Macaca mulatta: one gene and its partner. The protein of the gene in region 1 interacts with the protein of each later gene in a biochemical or structural test. Links are inferred from orthologs where the notes say so. Each region holds a gene or a part of one and is shown on either strand. Other genes may lie near its edges.

Region 1 (3,826 bases):
TGCCTATGTGATAACTTCCAGAGCACACATGAGCTGGAACCCACACTTGATAAATGGCTGTATCTATTTTCTCATTTTAGCTGAAATGTTGTATTTGAAAGAACCATTTTTCTCATTTTAATAGAAATTCAAAAAAAACAGACGACGTGGATTTTGTCCTGTAGGACCACATGCAGCAAATTGTCTTTAATTCTCAAAGCCACAGTCTCTGCTAGGAGTCGGGGCCATAATTACAATGGATTAGCTATTTCGGATTCCCTATCTAAATGGCTTTTACTGTTTGCTTTAAAATACCGTGTAAAGAAATAATTAAATCCAGAATATTGAGAGAGCAAAATTAGTGGGCTCCAGAAATTGCAAGCAGAGGGGAGGATATCTTCAAAAGTGTTTTGTCCAGTATTTTTATGAAGAAGTTCAGACTGATATTTTTGTTGTTTTTTACAGCCAAAACAAAATTATTTTCAAGAAAACATTGAGTTGTGTTAGTTTTTATAGTATCATTTCTCAGTAAGGAAATATGATTCATCTATTGAGTCCTAAAAATATCGCAAATTTTAGATTATTAATTCAAAAGACTCTAGATGGAAGATTGGTATTCATACCTCATAGCAAAAAGAAAAAAACAGTAATCTGTGAAATCAGATTTCCCATCTCTGATTATAAAACTACCTTTATATTTTAATAACCCTTAACTAATGTTTATGGTAATACCTGTGGAGTTTCTTAACTTCATATTGCAGGTGCTGTTCATCTGAATTGTGTGTGTTTGTTCATCTGTTAAATACTTCCTAAGCTCCTGCTGTATGCCAGGAATACACAAATAAATAAATGTAAGACTGTCTCTGCCCTAACAGAACTCCTAGCTTCATGGAGGAGACAAATGAGTCAGGAGAGAAATCCTAGCTGCATTCTTTTTTATATATCATAAAATAAAATTGTATTTTAGATTATACTATTGGTTACAAATATATTACTTTTATAAATTAGGATATACTTCAGACAGCATTTTGTTACTGTCTTAAAATGCAAATTTTAAGTACAGATTGTTGGTAATACTTTTTTTATTTATTATTTTTCTGAGACGGAGTTTTGCTCTGTCGCCCAGGCTGGAGTGCAGCGGCATGATCTCAGCTCATAGCAACCTCCACCTCCCAGGTTCAAGTGATTCTTCTGCCTCAGCCTCCCAAGTAGCTGGGATTACAGGTGCCCACCACAACGCCAAGCCAATTTCTGTATTTTTAGGAGAGATGGGGTTTCACCACATTGGCCAGGCTGGTTTCAAACCCCTGACCTCAAGTGATCTCCCTGCCTTGGCCTCCCAAAGTGCTGGGATTATAGGTGTGAGCCATCATGCCTGACCTGTTACAATAATTTTAAATGCAAATTAACATTGTCTATATTTGTAATTGGGTATTTCTTACATATGCTCACATCACCTTGAAGAAAATTAAAGTCATGGTTTTTTTTTTTACAAAAAGTTATGCAGTCTGTATGTTCACAGTGCATTTAGAATTGAAATCTACCTCTCTTTTATTTTCCTCTTTTCAAAGGGTTATTGTATTATGCAGGACATGGTTATGAAAATTTTGGGAACAGCTTCATGGTCCCTGTTGATGCTCCAAATCCATATAGGTCTGAAAATTGTCTGTGTGTACAAAATATACTGAAATTGATGCAAGAAAAAGAAACTGGACTTAATGTATTCTTATTGGATATGTGTAGGAAAAGGTAAATTTTCTAATCTTTATTAAACAATTGTTGGAGTTAAATATCAACCTTGACAAACTAGAGAAACATGCGAAATGCTAACAGCCATTTGCGTGTGTGAATTTTAGTTTATACATCGAAACTGGAAGAACAAAACTAGAGAAAAATATATTTACTCCATGTATATCTAATTATTTTAACTCTTCATATTTGCTATAGAACATAAAGAACTAAAGGGCATGGGCATTTACTCATACTACAGGGGATTCAACTCTCCAGAATGCCTTTAGATGACTTTAATAATCATTGTAGTTATTCCCTCAGGAATTAACAAAACCAGCACCCATGGAGTTGGGATTTCTGGTCACTAGTCAGTCCTGGTCTTCCAGATACAGAATGAGTAGCCGAAGCAGATGTTTGGAGGTTTGGATCCCATTTATCTGCCATTGCCTTTCTAAGAAATAGAACCAGTGCCTCTAGACTTACTATTTTTTGCTTGCTCAGCATTTACGAATCAAAATCCAATGCCAGAGTTCAAATGCAACTCCGGTTTTAAAGCTAACAAGGAGTTAGTGGGTTATTTTGGGTAGATATGTAGCTACCTAGATGAAAGATTTTGAATCTATAATTTTAAATTATGTATTCTAAAATACTGTTGTATTATCTCATTATTTATACTCTTTTAAGGATGATCTTTAACTTTTCATATTTCTGTCTGCTCTTCTCTGCCTCCGTTGAATAGAAATGACTACGATGATACCATTCCAATCTTGGATGCACTAAAAGTCACCGCCAATATTGTGTTTGGATATGCCACGTAAGAAAATTTTATGTTTACGTTGAAGTTTCCTTTATTCTTTGATATCTTTTTGTTTGCTTTTGCTTTTTAGGAGCAGGGGTCTTAACTCTGTCGCCCAGGCTGGAGTGCAGAGGCGCCATCATAGCTCACTGCTCCTGGGCTCAAGCAATCCTCCTGCCTCAGTCTTCTGAGTCGCTGGGATTACAGGCATGTGCCACTGTGCCTGGCTCCTGAGGTCTTTTTGATTCTAGATTAGAGGCCTAGAAAATACCTATAGACATGTAGGCATAAATTTACCTCCTTGATGTTCTTGGTAGAAAATTTTAAATCGTCAACTTTAGCATTCCATATCGTGGTATCTTATTATTAAGCCCAAATTGGGCATGTAGTTCCTGCTTAAAGATTAACTCTTTAATTATTGATGTCATGTGAGAGGCAGAAGAGAAAATGAGGCTCATCAGTGTACACAGAAGTCCCATGTGGCAAGTGTTTGTTTTTCTAACATTTTCTTTTTAAAAAATTATTTTTATTGGATATTGACAAGTTATAATTGTAGGTATTTATGGGATACAAAGATATGCTATGATGTACGTATTCAATGTGGAATGATTGAATCAAGTTAATTCACATATCACCTCAAATACTTACCATTTTTTTCCTCCTAACTGAAACATTGTACCCTGTGACTAACAGTCCCTGTGCCGTGCCCACCTCCCAGCCTCTGGTAATCACCATTCTGCTGGCTGCTTCTCTGAGTTCATTTTTATTAGCATCCACATATAAGTGAGAACATACAGTATTTGCCTTTCTGTGCCTGGTTTAACTTCTTTTTCTATTTTTAAGGTGTCAAGGAGCAGAAGCTTTTGAAATCCAGCATTCTGGATTAGCAAATGGAATCTTTATGAAATTTTTGAAAGATAGATTATTAGAAGATAAGAAAATCACTGTGTTACTGGATGAAGTTGCAGAAGGTAAAAAATAAAGAGGAACTACTCAGAAAAAAGAGCAGGGGGGACACACCTATTCAGGATTCCCTCTCTGGTGATTGTTTAATTCTTATTATGTGGGTTTGGAATTAGTATCTACTTTATAAAACAATTTTTATATTAATATAACATTCAGCAACACTTCTGCTATTTAATGTCATCTTTCTTTCCCTTTTGACGTAGCTCTCCACCATCTGTGCAGCATTACTTAGACTACAAGGCTAAGCCTAGGCACAGTCATTAAAAGTTGAATCCTCAGATCTCTGCTTTGCTTCTGTGCCCAGTGCCTTGGTGCTGGCGAATCTCCCTATTTGGGGGTGGGTGGGGGGCGTGG
Region 2 (2,928 bases), on another chromosome or scaffold:
TAAACCCGGGAGGCGGAGCTTGCAGTGAGCTGAGATCCAGCCACTGCACTCCAGCCTGGGCGACAGAGCCAGACTCCATCTCAAAAAAAAAAAAAAATTTCCTTGAAAGTTTAAACTAACCTGCATTTCTTCAAGCATGAAATCTGAGTCCTGAAATTAAGGGACAATACACAGTAAGACAACTTGCATACAATTAAGGGTAACCCAAAATCTCCAAACACTATAGAATGACTATATTCCCCTTTTCAGGGCATAAACTAGAATGTTACAGCCATCTTTTTATCTTTTTTATTTTATTTTTTTTTCTGAGACGGAGTCTGTCTTTGTCGCCCAGGCTAGAGTGGCGCGATCTAGGCTCACTGCAACCTTTGCCTCCTGGGTTCAAGCGATTCTCCCACCTCAGCCTCCCGAGTAGCTGGGACTACAGGCATGCGCCACCATGCCCGGCTAATTTTAGTATTTTTTGTAGAGACTAGGTTTCGTCTTGTTGCCCAGGCTGATCTCAAACTCGTGAGCTCAAGCGATCCTCCCGCCTTGGCCTCCCAAAGTGCTGGGATGACAGGCCTGAGCCCCCAGCCAGGAGGCTTTCTTTGCTACGTAAGGAACTAGGGCGTTTCCCAAGCGCAGAATAGACGAAACTCCCGAGGCTCAAAAACTCATCTTTATTGGGAAGACTCTGAACAACCAACCTACCCCCCACCTTCAAGTCTGGGGAGGAAGGGCCGGGCATCTGCCCCCTCCTCCCATATGTACAATCTTTTCCGAATCCTACTGGAGAATGTTCCCCCACATGTGGTGACAGAGGCAGCTTTAACAAGCTAGTGCACGGGAGCCATGTCCCTTTTCCTCTCCGGACTCAGTTTCCTCATCTGCAAAATGGGCTCAAGGGGAAACCCGTGCAACGGAGCTTCTCGCCAAGGCTTGAATATGTCCATTTCAGAAGCATGAGGAAGGGCCAAGGGGATGGGGGTGCTAGACATCCTGGTTGGGATTGCACAGCTCCTCCACCTCCCTCCCCACCCAGTGCCCCTCCTCTGGCATCGCGGGGCTACGTGGCTTCAGGCCCTGGGGATAGGAGGCCGCCCCCAAAGGCCGCCTCGCGGTACTGATTGGGGAACATGTTGCTGCCCACGAGGCTGGCGGTGCCTCCATCCCCGGGGCCCGGGGCCTGGTACGAGTCCAGCGTCAGCGGTTCAGGGCCAGGGGGCTCCCCAACCACGGCTCCGGCACTGCACACAACAGCGCTAGCATGTGGTGGTGCCGGGGGCAGCAGGTCCAGCATGGTGAAGAGTGTGGGGGCTGTAGGGTCGTAGGCAAAGCCATCATCCAGGAGGTCAGGCCCGCCAGGGGGCTCCAGGCCGGGCAGGGACACGGTGCCAGAGAAGAAGTCAGGGTCTGGCAGCAGGGCTGACGGCGGGAGGAACGGGCCTACGGGGATGAAGACAGAGAAGTGTAGTGTGATTTAGGGCCAACTTCTGACCAGGCCCTAATTCAAATGCCCCACTTCCTGCAAAATGTGATATCAAGGTGGCCTTTTTTTTTATTTTTGAGATGGAATCTCATTCTGTCGCCCAGGCTGGAAGGCAGTCGTGTACTCTTGGCTCACTGCAACCTCTTCCTCCCCGGTTCAAGTCGATTCCCCTGCTTCAGTCTCCCGAGTAGCTGGAACTACAGGCACGTGCCACGCCCAGCTAATTATTCTTTTTAGTAGAGATGGGGTTTCATCACGTTTGCCAGGCTGGTCTCGAACTCCTGACCTCAGGTGATCCACCTGCCTCAGCCTCCCAAAGTGCTGGGATTACAGGTATGAGCCACCAAGCCTGGCCTTAAGGTGCCATCTTAATCCCAAGGAGAATCCATGTGGGACTATCACCATTCTCAGATAATAACTAAATTGAAGGCCAAGAATATAGCCTTTTGGCATGGTGGTTCACACCTGTAATCCCAACATAACATAGCAGACCCTGTCTCTACGAAAAAATTATTTAAAAGTTAGCTGGGTGTGGTGGTGCACGCCTGTAGTCCCAGCTACTTGGCAGGCTGAGGCAGAAGGATTGCTTGAGCCCAGTTTGAGGCTGCAGGGAAGTATGATTACATCACTGCACTCCAGCCTGGGGAACAGAGCAAGACCTTGTCTCTAAAAGTAGTGATAATAAGAAGTAAACTAAGGCACTGAGGGCACTGAGGGAAAGTCAGTGGAAGGCTCACACAACTGTTGTGGAACTAGCATGTGAAACCATGCTCCTACACAGCTGTGGAGAGTTTTCCCTGAGAGTGAGGAAGGAGAAGAGGTTCCAAAGCCCCCCAACATACAGAGACAACCCAAAAAGTGAAATCTCCAGACCATGGGAGACACAAGTTGGGAAGTCACCAGTCCCAAAATTGTCAGAAAAAATAAATGTCGGCCGGGCGCGGTGGCTCAAGCCTGTAATCCCAGCACTTTGGGAGGCCGAGACGGGCGGATCACGAGGTCAGGAGATCGAGACCATCCTGGCTAACAAGGTGAAACCCCATCTCTACTAAAAAATACAAAAAACTAGCCGGGCGAGGTGGCGGACGTCTGTAGTCCCAGCTACTCGGGAGGCTGACGCAGGAGAATGGCATAAACCCGGGAGGCGGAGCTTGCAGTGAGCTGAGATCCCGCCACTGCACTCCAGCCTGGGCGACAGAGCGAGACTCCGTCTCAAAAAAAAAAAAAAAAAAAAAAAAGTCATTCTTAGGCATAATGAGGACTTAAGAAAAAATAACAATCAAATCAAAAAGTTTCATTATAAGAGGGATTCTCTGGCCAGGCATGGTGGCTCACATCTGTAATCCCAGCACTTTGGTGGGCCGAGGCAGGCAGATTACCTAAGGTCAGAAGTTCAAGATCAGCCTGGCCAACATGGCAAAACCCTGGCTCTTCCAAAAATACAAAAATTAATTGGG

What was found.
Region 2: of the proteins of MALT1 (region 1) and RELB, one has a biochemical effect on the other in vitro, tested with the Homo sapiens proteins (2 studies listed by BioGRID). The link is inferred for Macaca mulatta from reciprocal best matches to the Homo sapiens genes MALT1 and RELB.

The regions. Positions count from the first base shown.
Region 1 is NC_133423.1:22,266,639-22,270,464, reverse strand, and holds part of MALT1 (mucosa-associated lymphoid tissue lymphoma translocation protein 1), read left to right. Parts: intron 1-1,550; coding exon 1,551-1,728; intron 1,729-2,449; coding exon 2,450-2,524; intron 2,525-3,349; coding exon 3,350-3,477; intron 3,478-3,826. UniProt on the Homo sapiens protein: Protease that enhances BCL10-induced activation: acts via formation of CBM complexes that channel adaptive and innate immune signaling downstream of CARD domain-containing proteins (CARD9, CARD11 and CARD14) to activate NF-kappa-B and MAP kinase p38 pathways which stimulate expression of genes encoding pro-inflammatory cytokines and chemokines.
Region 2 is NC_133424.1:57,550,788-57,553,715, reverse strand, and holds the end of RELB (transcription factor RelB), read right to left. Parts: intron 1,429-2,928; coding exon 1,049-1,428; 3' UTR 647-1,048; downstream 1-646.